Saccharomyces cerevisiae S288C: one gene and its partners. The main gene of each other region encodes a partner of the protein of the gene in region 2 in a complex. Each region holds a gene or a part of one and is shown on either strand. Other genes may lie near its edges. A codon is read from its position in the direction of its gene.

What was found.
Region 1: the proteins of YCG1 (region 2) and BRN1 are in contact, whole or in part, in a cryo-EM structure (PDB 6YVD), measured with the Saccharomyces cerevisiae proteins. Residues at the interface, in NP_010612.2 of Saccharomyces cerevisiae: Gln215 (codon at 2,387), Arg245 (codon at 2,477), Asp246 (codon at 2,480), Val247 (codon at 2,483), Gln661 (codon at 3,725), Glu741 (codon at 3,965), Gln745 (codon at 3,977), Phe749 (codon at 3,989); in NP_009455.3 of Saccharomyces cerevisiae: His495 (codon at 3,136), Tyr496 (codon at 3,139), Leu497 (codon at 3,142), Leu498 (codon at 3,145), Asp500 (codon at 3,151), Phe504 (codon at 3,163), Phe513 (codon at 3,190).
Region 3: YCG1 (region 2) and YCS4 share a complex: the UniProt entries of both Saccharomyces cerevisiae proteins name them as parts of the condensin complex.

What each region holds. Positions count from the first base shown.
Region 1 is NC_001134.8:39,178-43,595, forward strand, and holds BRN1 (condensin subunit BRN1), read left to right. Parts: upstream 1-1,653; coding exon 1,654-3,918; downstream 3,919-4,418. Other genes in the region: BNA4 (kynurenine 3-monooxygenase), read left to right, coding at 1-1,350; MRX3 (Mrx3p), read left to right, coding at 4,100-4,418. UniProt on the Saccharomyces cerevisiae protein: Regulatory subunit of the condensin complex, a complex required for conversion of interphase chromatin into mitotic-like condense chromosomes.
Region 2 is NC_001136.10:1,115,382-1,120,754, forward strand, and holds YCG1 (condensin subunit YCG1), read left to right. Parts: upstream 1-1,744; coding exon 1,745-4,852; downstream 4,853-5,373. Other genes in the region: small subunit rRNA maturation protein UTP4, read right to left, coding at 1-1,382; YSP2 (Ysp2p), read right to left, coding at 5,228-5,373. UniProt on the Saccharomyces cerevisiae protein: Regulatory subunit of the condensin complex, a complex required for conversion of interphase chromatin into mitotic-like condense chromosomes.
Region 3 is NC_001144.5:683,172-689,227, reverse strand, and holds YCS4 (condensin subunit YCS4), read left to right. Parts: upstream 1-2,025; coding exon 2,026-5,556; downstream 5,557-6,056. Other genes in the region: protein phosphatase regulator PIG1, read left to right, coding at 1-145; CMG1 (Cmg1p), read right to left, coding at 5,667-6,056. UniProt on the Saccharomyces cerevisiae protein: Regulatory subunit of the condensin complex, a complex required for conversion of interphase chromatin into mitotic-like condense chromosomes.

The DNA of each region.
Region 1 (4,418 bases), on a different chromosome or scaffold from region 2:
TTAGTAGGCTGCCTTGCAGCTTTGGCATTCTCCAAAGAAGGCTACAATGTCACACTATATGATTTTAGACAAGATCCTCGATTGGACACCACCAAAAATAAAAATTTGAAATCCATTAATTTGGCTATTTCTGCTCGTGGCATTGATGCTCTGAAATCAATAGATCCGGATGCTTGTGAACATATTCTGCAAGATATGATTCCCATGAAAGGCAGGATGATTCATGACTTGAAAGGCAGACAGGAATCACAATTGTATGGCTTGCATGGAGAAGCTATTAATTCTATCAATAGATCTGTATTAAATAATAGCCTTTTGGACGAATTAGAAAAATCTACAACAGAACTGAAGTTCGGTCACAAATTAGTCAAAATCGAATGGACAGATGATAAACAAATCTGTCATTTTGCCATTGGGGAAGATTTGAAAACCCCACATACTGAAAAGTATGATTTTGTCATAGGTTGTGACGGAGCATACTCTGCGACGAGATCGCAAATGCAACGTAAAGTTGAGATGGATTTTTCACAAGAATATATGAATTTACGTTACATTGAACTTTACATCCCGCCTACTGAGGAATTCAAGCCAAACTATGGCGGAAATTTTGCAATAGCTCCTGACCATTTGCACATTTGGCCTCGTCATAAATTCATGTTAATTGCGCTCGCCAACAGTGACGGCTCGTTCACTTCAACCTTTTTCGGTTCTAAAGATCAAATATCAGATCTGATAACTTCCAAGTCACGTGTGAGGGAATTCTTAATCGAGAACTTTCCCGATATTATTAATATTATGGATTTGGACGATGCTGTCAAAAGGTTTATCACTTATCCAAAGGAAAGTCTTGTCTGTGTAAACTGTAAGCCATACGATGTACCAGGCGGAAAGGCCATCCTACTCGGCGACGCTGCCCATGCAATGGTTCCATTTTACGGCCAAGGTATGAATTGCGGATTTGAAGATGTGAGAATTCTTATGGCGCTATTGAAAAAGCATTCAGGAGATCGTTCAAGAGCCTTTACTGAGTACACTCAAACAAGACATAAGGACCTAGTTTCTATTACTGAGCTGGCAAAAAGGAACTATAAAGAAATGTCACATGACGTTACATCCAAGCGGTTTTTATTAAGGAAAAAGCTAGATGCTCTCTTTAGTATTATAATGAAGGATAAGTGGATACCTTTGTATACAATGATATCTTTCAGATCCGATATCTCGTATTCTAGAGCTTTAGAAAGGGCTGGAAAGCAAACACGTATCTTGAAATTCTTAGAATCTCTGACACTCGGTATGTTATCTATTGGCGGTTACAAGCTTTTCAAATTTTTGACAAGAGAACGTTCCTGAAGCCAGTTTATTCTTGCCATCCGTGTACGCTAGGAGAGGATTATTAAAATAAGTGATATATACATATATATATATATATATATATATATAATACACTAATTATTTTATGTGATGTTGATCACGCGAAACGGTAAACGGCTCTGTTCGCGCTTTCTTTGTTTACATTTTAGTGAAGTATTGTCAAGATAATATCCATATGGTTGAACTTTTTATATTGGCTAGTTAAATACTCTATTTATTGCACCAAAAAATCATCTTAGTGGACTTTTTGGAGCAAAAAAAACCAGCAGGTAGTTATATAAGATGACTACACAACTAAGGTATGAAAATAACGATGACGATGAAAGAGTAGAATATAATCTCTTTACCAATAGATCCACCATGATGGCAAATTTTGAAGAATGGATCAAAATGGCTACAGATAATAAAATCAATTCCCGAAATAGTTGGAATTTCGCATTGATCGACTATTTTTATGACTTGGACGTTTTGAAAGATGGCGAGAATAACATCAATTTTCAGAAAGCATCTGCAACCTTGGATGGGTGTATTAAGATTTACTCTTCGAGAGTTGATTCAGTGACAACGGAAACAGGTAAGTTATTGAGCGGGTTGGCACAAAGAAAGACGAATGGGGCATCTAACGGAGATGACAGTAACGGGGGAAATGGTGAAGGGCTTGGAGGTGACAGTGACGAAGCAAATATAGAGATTGATCCCTTAACTGGTATGCCTATATCTAATGATCCTGATGTGAATAACACTAGGCGGAGAGTGTACAACAGAGTTTTAGAAACAACATTGGTGGAGTTCGAAACGATCAAGATGAAAGAGCTAGACCAGGAATTAATAATTGATCCATTATTCAAAAAGGCCTTGGTTGATTTCGATGAAGGTGGCGCCAAGAGTTTATTGTTGAACACATTAAACATAGACAACACTGCAAGAGTCATTTTCGATGCATCAATTAAGGATACACAAAACGTAGGGCAAGGTAAACTTCAAAGGAAAGAAGAAGAATTAATTGAAAGAGATAGTTTAGTAGATGACGAAAATGAACCTAGCCAGTCATTGATAAGTACTCGTAATGACTCAACCGTAAATGATTCCGTTATTAGTGCACCTTCCATGGAAGATGAGATTTTATCTCTTGGTATGGATTTTATAAAATTTGATCAAATTGCGGTGTGTGAAATTTCAGGATCGATTGAGCAACTAAGGAACGTTGTCGAAGATATTAATCAAGCGAAAGACTTTATCGAAAATGTTAACAACAGATTTGATAACTTCTTAACTGAAGAAGAATTGCAAGCAGCTGTCCCAGATAATGCAGAAGATGATAGCGATGGCTTTGATATGGGCATGCAACAGGAGCTGTGCTATCCAGATGAAAATCATGACAATACATCACATGATGAACAAGATGATGATAATGTCAACAGTACCACAGGAAGTATATTCGAAAAAGATTTGATGGCATACTTTGACGAAAATCTAAATAGAAACTGGAGAGGGAGAGAACATTGGAAAGTACGAAATTTTAAGAAAGCAAACTTAGTGAATAAAGAATCCGACCTGTTGGAAGAAACGCGAACTACTATAGGAGATACTACTGACAAAAACACAACGGACGACAAATCGATGGATACGAAGAAGAAGCATAAACAAAAAAAGGTTCTGGAAATTGATTTCTTCAAAACGGATGATAGTTTTGAAGACAAAGTCTTTGCCTCAAAAGGAAGGACAAAGATTGACATGCCGATTAAGAACAGAAAGAACGACACACATTATTTACTGCCGGATGACTTCCATTTTTCCACTGATAGAATAACAAGATTGTTCATTAAACCGGGGCAGAAAATGAGTCTGTTCAGTCATAGGAAGCATACCAGAGGCGACGTTAGTTCGGGGCTTTTTGAAAAAAGCACAGTTTCTGCCAACCATTCAAATAACGACATTCCTACTATTGCAGATGAGCACTTTTGGGCGGATAATTACGAAAGGAAAGAACAAGAGGAAAAAGAAAAGGAGCAGTCTAAAGAGGTTGGTGATGTGGTGGGTGGAGCGCTCGATAATCCGTTTGAAGATGACATGGACGGTGTTGACTTCAACCAAGCTTTCGAAGGAACAGATGATAACGAGGAGGCCAGTGTGAAACTTGATTTACAGGATGACGAAGATCATAAGTTCCCCATTCGAGAAAATAAAGTTACTTATTCAAGAGTTTCGAAAAAAGTTGACGTAAGAAGATTAAAGAAAAACGTATGGAGATCGATCAACAATTTGATACAAGAACATGACAGTAGGAAAAATAGAGAACAAAGCTCTAATGACAGTGAAACCCACACAGAAGATGAATCAACAAAGGAGCTCAAGTTTTCTGATATCATTCAGGGTATAAGTAAAATGTATTCGGATGATACACTAAAGGACATTTCAACAAGCTTTTGTTTTATATGCCTTCTACACTTAGCCAATGAGCATGGGTTGCAGATAACTCATACCGAAAACTATAATGACTTGATAGTGAATTATGAGGATCTAGCGACAACACAGGCAGCGTCATAGTTGATGATCTTTTTTTTTTTTTTTTTTTTTTTTTTTGTGCTGCAAAGTTTCTTAAAGCCTTCGGGCTTACGAAATCCTTTATCGCCGAAAGGGGACCGCTTCGAAAAGTGGATATAAAACAAGGTATTTATTTTTATAGACAATGACCAAATGACAGGATAGATCGAGGGTGAGTTCCAATATGTCCAGAACTATTCCATTTCTATTTAAATTAGTCAACAGGGCAGTAATTTTGCCTACGGCAGGTTTTACATTAGGAGTTGGTGCGTTTGTAAAGGCGTGGCCCGATGATGCCGGTGTTCTATCATTGAATGATCCGCAAACGCCAGCGGAGTTGATTAGTGCGACCAAGAGCCGCCAACCTATGGAGCTGCAGAGGGTTGACATCCTCGCTCAAATCGAGAAAAGCGAGGTTTACAACAAGTTGGCCCAGGATGAGAAGATGCACCATGTCTTATTCAGTGAGAAAATACCAAGCGGGCATAGGGAATATCATGTAG
Region 2 (5,373 bases):
TTCAATTTATTACCTACGGGCTGTAAATGAAAAACTTTAGTGGTAGAGGGCCTCCCTACGACTAAAACTTGTCCATCAGGTGATAAAGAACAAGTTGAGATATTCTGGTCATCTTTTAAAGTTAACTTGCAAACTAGCTTATAATTCTGTTCTGTACTAGAATCGGTTCCCATTGTCCATATCTTAACAGTAGATTCGCTCCATGAAACAACAAGGCGTTGCTCTTTGTTAACTAAAACATTCTTTGAATAAGGTTCGACAGTTGGCATCTTCCTGTAGTTTCCATTAGAAAAAGAAGTAAGTGAGTTGATGACTAGTGTTTTTTCAACACCTCCTGAAACTAGAAAATCTGCACCTTTAGATTGGTATGCACATATTGCTCTAATGTCGTTTCCATGAAGCAACCTATTAGAAGAATTTACCCATCTGTTGTTCTTTTGAGATTTGTTAGTGTTTTGAGAAAATTGAAAGATTTTTCTGTCCACACCAGCACTAAAAACATAATTATTATCAGTATCGGTAGTTAGACACAGTACGTCTGCATCGTGCGCCTTAAATGACTGGTTTAGCGTGGCAAACTGGAAATCCCAGAATTTAATGGAGCCTGTAGAATCACCAGAGGCAATCTGATCAGTTCTTGGTAAATATATAACTGACCAAACTAGAGTTGATTCTTTTTTGGCCTTGTCGACCTTCATAGTGTGTAATAGACGACCCATGTTTTCGTCATTTTTTTGTGCAGACCAAATCCTTATTCTACCATCAGAACAACCACCAATCACGAAGTCATCCTTTTTCCAAGCCAAAGTCAATACTCTGGCTTCTTGTCTCATCAAAATAGTATCGTGTTCCAAGACACCAGGCCCGCCAGAGATATCTATGAGGACCACCGTCCCATTATCGCAACCCACAGACAGCTTGTCTTGTGAATCGTTGATGGAAATAGACCATATCACACCTGAATTGCAATCATAGTTTCTTAATGGTAAACCTGTTGCTAAATCCCATTCTGTTACCACAGTCGAGCCGCCAATAGAAAATAGCCTTAGAGACTCGCCGTTAACGTTGCTCCAGCAAAGGCCTTCAATTGATCTGTCTTTGCCACCTTCGATAACCATTTCCTGAAACCAATTGTTTCTAGGATTCCAGATTTCTATGTTACCATTAGATCTACCAATAGCTAATCTCAAATCGGACGGAGTTAACTTATTTATATTTGATTTATGTGAAAATGCTAGAGATGTGATTGTGGCAGGAGTGAAATCCACAAATCTGCATCTATGCACTATCATCCTTTCCTGACTGGTCATCTTCACCGGTTTGTTTCGTATTTTCAGGCTTCTTGACTTTTCTTTTAAAACTGAAAGTAGCGATGAGCTCATTCGTAGCTTTTTTCTTGTCAGTCTGAAAATTTTTCATTTGGTTTTTTGAAAAAAATCCTGCCTAATATGGTATCAAGAGGAATAACAAGAAAAAAAAATCATGGGGGATACAAAGGAAAACAAGGAGATAATGCAGGTTATACTGAATTGCTCATAGTATTAGCCTAAAGCACTTTACCTCTGATTTATTGCATCTATCGTATTCTTGAGTTATTGCGACTTTTAAAATCCGTGCACCGCATATGAAAGGGTAGAGCCTTCGTGTTTGTTTACCTTTTTAGCTCTTTGAAGATCAAACAAAAACACTTCAGTAATGCCTACAGCCTTGGATAAGACAAAGAAGTTAACAGGCCGCGCCCATCATGCAAGATCCTGATGGTATTGACATTAATACGAAAATCTTTAACTCAGTTGCTGAAGTATTTCAAAAGGCACAGGGTTCTTATGCAGGACACAGGAAGCATATAGCAGTTTTGAAGAAAATTCAGTCAAAGGCTGTTGAGCAAGGCTATGAAGATGCTTTTAACTTTTGGTTCGATAAATTAGTTACTAAGATCCTTCCTCTGAAAAAGAATGAGATTATCGGAGACAGGATAGTAAAGTTAGTAGCTGCATTTATAGCTTCTTTAGAAAGGGAGTTGATATTGGCCAAAAAACAAAACTATAAGCTCACGAATGATGAAGAAGGGATATTCTCAAGGTTCGTCGATCAGTTCATAAGACATGTTTTGCGTGGTGTGGAAAGCCCTGACAAGAACGTCAGATTTAGAGTTTTACAGTTATTAGCCGTTATAATGGATAATATAGGGGAAATCGATGAATCACTTTTCAATTTATTAATATTGTCTTTAAATAAGAGGATTTATGATAGAGAACCAACGGTTAGGATACAGGCTGTGTTTTGTTTAACTAAATTTCAGGATGAAGAGCAAACTGAACATTTAACTGAGCTTTCTGATAATGAAGAAAATTTTGAAGCTACGAGAACTCTAGTTGCTTCTATCCAGAACGATCCGTCAGCTGAAGTACGGAGGGCTGCAATGCTGAATTTGATCAATGATAATAATACTAGACCGTATATCTTGGAGAGGGCTAGAGATGTAAACATCGTTAATAGAAGGCTCGTGTATTCGAGAATTTTGAAATCAATGGGAAGAAAGTGTTTCGATGATATTGAGCCGCATATTTTTGATCAATTGATTGAGTGGGGTTTAGAAGATAGGGAATTATCAGTGAGAAATGCGTGTAAGAGACTCATTGCTCATGATTGGTTAAATGCTCTGGATGGCGATTTGATAGAATTACTAGAAAAATTGGATGTCTCAAGATCCTCAGTGTGTGTTAAGGCTATAGAAGCACTTTTTCAATCAAGGCCAGATATATTATCTAAAATCAAATTTCCTGAAAGTATTTGGAAAGACTTTACCGTAGAAATTGCCTTCCTCTTTCGGGCTATTTATTTGTACTGTTTGGATAATAATATAACAGAAATGCTGGAAGAAAACTTTCCAGAAGCCTCAAAATTATCCGAGCATTTAAACCATTATATTCTTCTCAGATATCATCACAACGACATTTCTAATGACTCTCAGTCGCATTTTGATTATAACACTTTAGAGTTTATTATTGAGCAACTATCGATTGCCGCCGAAAGGTATGATTATAGCGATGAGGTTGGAAGGAGATCGATGCTTACAGTGGTACGAAATATGCTGGCCTTAACTACACTCTCCGAACCTCTTATTAAAATTGGTATTCGTGTAATGAAAAGTCTGTCCATAAATGAAAAAGATTTTGTAACAATGGCAATAGAAATCATTAATGATATTAGAGACGACGATATTGAAAAACAAGAACAAGAAGAGAAAATAAAAAGCAAGAAGATTAATCGCAGAAATGAGACTTCCGTCGATGAAGAGGACGAAAACGGCACACATAATGACGAAGTTAACGAGGATGAAGAAGACGACAATATTTCATCCTTCCATTCTGCTGTAGAAAACTTAGTGCAGGGAAACGGCAACGTATCTGAGAGTGACATAATAAATAATCTCCCACCCGAAAAGGAAGCGTCCTCAGCAACAATTGTTCTCTGTCTTACAAGGTCATCATATATGCTAGAACTAGTTAACACACCGTTAACAGAAAACATTTTAATTGCGTCGTTGATGGACACTTTGATCACACCAGCGGTTAGAAATACCGCGCCAAATATTAGGGAGCTTGGTGTCAAGAACCTTGGTTTATGTTGTCTCTTGGATGTGAAGTTGGCTATTGATAACATGTACATCTTAGGTATGTGCGTTTCGAAAGGTAATGCATCATTAAAGTATATTGCGTTACAAGTCATTGTAGATATTTTTTCCGTACATGGGAACACTGTGGTAGACGGAGAAGGCAAAGTTGACTCAATCTCGTTGCACAAAATATTTTACAAGGTTTTAAAGAATAACGGTTTACCGGAATGTCAGGTGATAGCAGCGGAGGGTTTATGCAAACTATTTTTGGCAGACGTGTTCACTGATGATGATTTGTTTGAAACGTTGGTTTTGTCATATTTTTCGCCGATAAATTCCTCAAACGAAGCGCTGGTACAGGCATTTGCCTTCTGCATTCCAGTCTATTGTTTTTCACATCCTGCTCATCAACAACGTATGTCTAGGACGGCTGCGGACATACTCTTAAGACTATGTGTTCTTTGGGACGATTTACAGAGCTCTGTAATACCTGAGGTAGACCGTGAAGCTATGCTAAAGCCTAACATAATATTTCAACAGTTGCTATTTTGGACTGATCCACGTAACTTAGTTAACCAGACAGGTTCAACAAAAAAAGATACAGTGCAGCTTACATTCTTGATCGATGTGCTCAAAATATACGCTCAAATTGAGAAGAAAGAAATAAAGAAGATGATCATCACTAATATAAACGCTATATTTCTTTCTTCTGAACAAGATTATTCTACTTTGAAAGAACTTCTTGAGTATTCTGACGATATTGCAGAAAATGATAATTTAGACAATGTTAGCAAAAATGCTCTGGACAAGCTAAGGAATAATTTGAATTCGCTGATTGAAGAGATCAATGAAAGGTCAGAAACTCAGACAAAAGATGAGAACAACACTGCGAATGACCAATACTCGTCTATTTTGGGGAATTCATTCAATAAATCTTCAAATGACACCATAGAACACGCTGCTGATATAACTGATGGAAATAACACAGAATTGACTAAAACAACTGTTAATATTTCGGCAGTTGACAATACAACAGAGCAAAGTAACTCAAGGAAAAGAACGAGATCAGAAGCGGAGCAAATTGACACATCCAAAAACCTGGAAAACATGAGTATTCAAGACACGTCAACTGTAGCAAAAAATGTAAGTTTTGTTTTACCTGACGAGAAATCAGATGCAATGTCCATAGATGAAGAAGATAAGGATTCAGAGTCTTTCAGCGAGGTCTGTTAAAATTGATATGCGAGCTCTTCATCTATTTAAGTTGATTTTTTGGTTGTAAACATATTTGTATTTTATTCTTAGGTTTGTTAATTCTTCTACGCTTACCAGATATAGATGCTATATGTTATTGCATTACGCACATTACCCGGTGGGACAAATTATGGAAATATTCCAAGGCTATAAATTCTTTGGTGAAAGGAACTGAAATTATGTCCAGTAATGCACCAGAAATGGACATATAAAACTATTAATGCATTTTATTACAATTATCCTAAGAAAATATCCTATATATAATTAAAGTAAAAGAAATAAGATCAAAAGAACAAAATAAAGTCGAGTAGAATTTTCCTACTTGACTATATTAGAACGAAAAATGTTATTTTATCAAAGTAATTGGTTAGTAGCCGACGTGTTATCCGTTTGGGCCAATAATTCTTTCATTTCTTGCAGCTGCAATTCGGTGATTTTTATAGATTCAACTAGCTGCTGTATTTTATGATCACTAACTCCATTTACGAGCTTAACCTTCT
Region 3 (6,056 bases), on a different chromosome or scaffold from region 2:
TCCCTTGAATACCACAACCTCATTACCATTTTTTCCAGGTGATAATATGAGTGACAGCTCAGGAGAATATGAGGAGAGAACCTCTCTTAGCCCTAATAAAATTCACATTTTTCGTGATTATTTTTATAAGTCGCCGTCACCCTAACCATCGCCCATATTACAATAATAACAAAATCCTTGGAATGAAGAGAATAAAATTTTAATTAAAATTAATAAAATAGTTAATCATATTCTTTTGCCTTCATAGATTAGATATGAAATATTTTGCTCACATAAGTTAATATTGCTTTTGCATTTTTGTTTCTGACTTTAGTTTCTCATTAGTCGAAATGACTTTAGTTCTTTAGAAATATTTTAAATTCAGTGGGGGATTTTCGTTCTTTATTGGTGCAAATAACGATTAGTTTTTCATTTCACGATATTTAGCTGCAGTTGATAGGTGATATATCTGCTTTAACTCTTACCTTTACAGTTTGTGATGAAATGATAGGTTTAAACAGTCGTTTAAAGAGTTGTATAACAAAAGGACTCTTAACAATCGAAGTTTTTTTAACATGTTAACACCATCTTTAGTAAACGTTATATTATTGAGTATGTGAAATATACTAGAAGTTCTCCTCGAGAATATACGAATCAATAAAAGAGAAACAATATTTCTCCACAAAATCTTATAATTATTACACCTTTCGTTTTATATGTTTCATTGTCCTATTACATTATCAGTCCTTGCATTTCAGCTTCCATTATATTTGATGACTGTTTCCCAATCTTTATGCCATCTTGTTACACCGCATATGATAATAGATTCTAGTAACATGAATACTACTAATAAATGATATTTTAGAGTTTCATTTCAACAAATATACTATGTGAAACAGTAGTCAAATTTAATATGAAACCGAACATGCGAGAATTGAGGATTAATAGGATGTGAAACATATAAAATGGAAGAAAGATAATTACAAAATTTTGTGGAGAAATGTTGTTTCCATGTTATTGAGTCTTATATCCTTGAGGAGAAACTTCTAGTATATTGTGTATACATAATATTATATTGCCTTAAGCAAAATGGAATCCCAACAATTATCAAATTATTCACCAATTGATCATACACAATAGTTGATTATCATTTCAACATTATAACCTTATACAGAGAGTAATATACTAATGGATGAATACTACCAGTAGAATAAGACATAAACAAATATGATTAATGTCACTTTTTGCTTTTTTGCCGTCATTCTTTTTTATTTTTGTATAATTGGTGGTGTAACGTGGATTAAACATAAATAATAGGTTTCGTGGTCTAGTCGGTTATGGCATCTGCTTAACACGCAGAACGTCCCCAGTTCGATCCTGGGCGAAATCATTTTTTATACCTGTTATATTTCATAGAAATGTAGTAGTATTGCGAGATGAATAAAATGTCTGCTATTCAATAGTAAGGGCTTCTTTCCCCCACCTCTTTTGTTTGATTTTAAAATTATTATCAAGTAACGCGTTGTTTTCTTGTCGCGAGCCTTTTATTTACAACGAGTAAGGGTCAGGATATCTATGGAGTTTCTAGCTTGATCGTTATCACAAACTTTACTACTAAATGATAATTGTTGGTATGAACAGTATATATATATATATATATACATGTTCTGATCTTGAAAAAAAAATAAATAAAAAATGTTATTGATTGCAAGAATTTGGAAAGCAATTCATATGAGAAATTAAAATAACCAATTCCAGATTCTTTTTTTTTTTTTTCACTTTTCGAATTAAGTATCTTAAATACTGCACTTGTATATTTATATTCTTACTGTTGTAAAAAGAAAGACTAATGGCCTTTGTCAATTGCACTTTGGGTAAATTGGAAAGCAATAATATGAAAATTAAACGCATCGCGAAAATCTTGCGACCATTTAGTAAACAAAGAAAATAACCTGTCACTGACCAAAAAAAAGAAAGGTAAAGGAAGCAGCAGTAACAATATCTTTATCCTTTGATAGGTGGTAACTGACTTCGTTACTTTATGAGATGTCCGGCTTTAGCCTTTCCGAGTATCTGACCAAGTTCCAAACAACAGATCGAGAATCATATCCTCGCTTGCAGGACCCATCCAGAGAACTGAATGTTATCATAGACCAATTGGCCGTTTCACCCGAACAAATAGATGCTAGTCCAGATTCACTAGAAGCATTAATAGATCTTTGCCATGACTTCCCGCACTTAACACCGAAATTACAAACTCAACTAAGCTATTTGATAAGTTCATCTCTGTCGAATCTGTCAAAAGATATTAAGGCTAATCTCTCATCAAATGTTAACTTTACTGAAATTGGTGGCCTGATACCGCAGTGGAAAAGGCATTTAGAAGAGTATGGCTACCTTATTCAGGTACTTTTGACGTTTTTACAAGATGAGTTACATAAGGTCTCCTCGCAGTCTACCAATCTAAACCGTTCTGCCAAAAACAGTAAGAATGATAGTGCAAACGTCGAGCTGTTTAAAAGAGACTGTAATCAAATGGAAAACTTGCTTGAATCTATAACAAAGCTACTGGAGATTAACTTATCTAAGATATTTCAGACAACTCCTGAAAAGGATTTGTTTATTGGTTTGTTCACAAGACCATTATTTGTGTTATTAGAGATTGAACCTGTGACGAAGGTATCATCACTAAAGATGTTTATTCAAAGGATTTTGGCTATGTGTGTTAAAAATCACGGTCAAAGTTCAAGTATACAAAGTTCATTGATGACAAATTTAACTTATTTTCTTCATTTGTCGGTTTTTAATGCAGAATTACTAAAACTATTGAATGATGAATATAACTATCCACAACTAACAGAAGATATCTTGAAAGAAATCAGCACCAGGGTATTTAACGCAAAGGATACCACAGGCCCAAAGGCAATATCAAATTTTTTGATTAAATTATCAGAGCTATCACCAGGAATAATGCTTCGACAGATGAATCTTGTCATCACCTTACTCAACAATAGTTCTATAACATTGAGATGTTCCGTTGTAGAAGCATGTGGAAATATTGTGGCTGAATTGGCTCAAGACCCACAAACTATGGAACATTATAAACAACAAATAGCCGTACTTATTGAGTTACTAGAAGAAAGATTCCAGGATTCAAATCCCTACGTTAGAACGAAGGCGATACAAGGGTGTTCAAAGATCTGCGATTTGAGTTCGAAATTTAACAAAAGCAAAGCTAAATTTACTTCGTTGGCAGTACGATCATTGCAGGACCGCTCCTCTTTAGTTCGTAGGAACTCAGTAAAGTTACTTTCAAAATTATTGCTAAAACATCCTTTTAAGGCCATACATGGTAGCCAATTGAGGCTGAGTGAATGGGAAGAATATCTCAAAGGATCTGAATCACAGCTAAATTCCACTTTAAAGAAAGTAGAGTCACAAGAAACTCTGAATGACACGATTGAAAGGTCTTTGATTGAAGAAGAGGTAGAACAAGATGAAGGTCAATGTAGGACCGAGTTAGAAGGTTCTTTCAATAAGAGCGCAGAACTTTCTAGAATAGAAAATGAGGTAGAGAATATAAATGCAACAAATACCAGTGTTCTCATGAAGCTAAAGTTAATGATTGTTTACTATAAAGATGCCATTAGTTTCATTAAAGAGATACACAAGAGTATTGAATTGATATCTAATTTGCTGTTTTCTAAGAACAGAAACGAAGTTTTAGAATCAATGGACTTCCTAGTTTTAGCAGACGCTTTTGACATTGAGTTAAGCGAATTTGGTATAAAAAAAATGCTGCATTTGGTTTGGATGAAGGGCACAAACGATGAAGGAACGAGTATATCAGTACATTTGATAGAATGTTATAAGCAGCTATTTTTAACCGCGCCAGATAGTTGCAATATGCAGGAGAAGGCGGCACATATTGCCAAAAATTTAATTAATCTAAGCATCGGCGCATCTATTGCAGACTTGGCCTCTTTGGAACAGCTATTAGGAATGATGTATGAACAAAAATTGATTGATCAACATGTCATTAATATCCTTTGGGCTATTTACAATTCTGCATCGAAGGCCAGTATGCAGAAAGAACAAAATGTGAACAACCGTGACTCCGAAAAAGGGTTTTCTAAGGAACAAATTCATGGTTCTATTATTATTTTAGGAATGTTATCGTTAGCCGATAACGAAATAGCATTAAAAGGACTGGAGTCACTTTTAAACATTGGACTTGGTGCCGTTGGTTTAAAAGATCTGACCCTTTGTCGGTATTCTTGTTTAGCGTTAGAGAGAATGGTTCCCAAGAGAAGCACTATTATTACCAAGGCAATAAATCAAGAGCTTGAAGATGTTGCAGTGAAAAAGTTGTATGCCATAATTATCAACTATACCAAGGATAATGAATATTATCCTATGTGCGAACAAGCGCTTAGTGCACTGTTTACAATCTCTTCTAAGCCCGATATACTAGCTACAGATCTGATTAGAGAAAAGACAATGATGACATTTGGTAAACCTGAAGAGGAAGACTCTATTTTGTCGTTAGAACAATCATCTAGAGTTGTTTCTCTCAGTCAATTATTATTCATTGTAGGACAAGTGGCAATTAAAACACTTGTCTATCTAGAGAAATGTGAGGCAGAATTCAAGAAAAGAAAGATCGAGGCAGAAACTCGGAACGGTAAAGTAAAAAACCAAGGTGCAGATGTAACTAACACCACACAAGATAACGGTGGTGATAAAGAGCTAGAAATGATAGGAGGTACTAATGAGGACGATTTCACGGATGCTATTCAATTTGTAAAAGAGAATGAATTACTATTTGGAGAAAAATCTATATTAGGGAAGTTTTGCCCAATTGTAGAAGAGATTGTTTCTAATTCAAGCAGGTTTAGCGATCCAATGCTTCAAAGAACGGCAACCTTATGTCTAGAAAAACTAATGTGTTTATCATCAAAATATTGTGAAAAGAGCCTGCCGCTATTAATCACAGTAATGGAAAAATCTCCTGATCCTACTATTCGCTCAAATGCTGTCTTAGGACTAGGTGACATGGCAGTATGCTTCAACAACTTAGTAGACGAAAACACAGATTATTTGTATCGCCGTTTGCATGATGAAAACTTAATGGTACAAAGAACATGTTTAATGACAGTTACCTTCTTGATTTTAGCTGGACAGGTTAAGGTTAAAGGACAATTAGGAGAAATGGCCAAATGCCTAGACAATCCAGACCAGGGAATAAGTGATATGTGCAGATTATTTTTCACCGAGTTAGCATCCAAGGACAACGCCATTTATAATGGATTCATCGATATCTTTAGTAATTTATCGTCAGATGATTTATTGGGTAAGGAGAGTTTCAAGAAAATCATCAAATTTCTGTTAACTTTTATCGATAAGGAACGGCACCAAAAGCAATTAAACGAGAAATTAGTTGGAAGACTGAGAAAGTGCGAGACCCAAAAGCAATGGGATGATATTGCATTCGTACTAAACAATCTACCATACAAAAATGAAGACGTCACTGCATTATTGGAGCAAGGTTTCAAGGTTGTATCCGCAAAAGAATAATCGAACTGACGTTTACCCGTTTCTTCCGTTTTATATTATATGTTATTATATAAATAAAAGCTGTTCATTTCTTTCTTCTTGAAATATGACTTTACCTATCTCGATAAAATTCATTTGTGGTCGTCTTCATTCACTCCTGGGCAATGCTCGTAGAGATCACCTTCATCCTTATACTTGATTCCGCAAAAAAAACAGTAGTACTTCTCGGACCTCAGGAATATATTCAATTTTGTTATTCTTTTTTCAATGCTCAATTCTTCTAATTCAGCAAGTTCTGTGTCTTTTGTAATGCGACTACCGATAATTGAAGTATCACAATCTATTAATGTAGAAGGACGTCCAAACTTTTCACCTTTTATTGCAGGCGAAGCCTCCAAACTTTCATTTACCATTGGTATCATATTATTCTTATCTTCATTATCATTGTTACTGTGATTATTTAGGTCATTTTTTGCTACTTCCTCATTTAGTTGCATAACGTAAGATCTCCAAAGTACGTT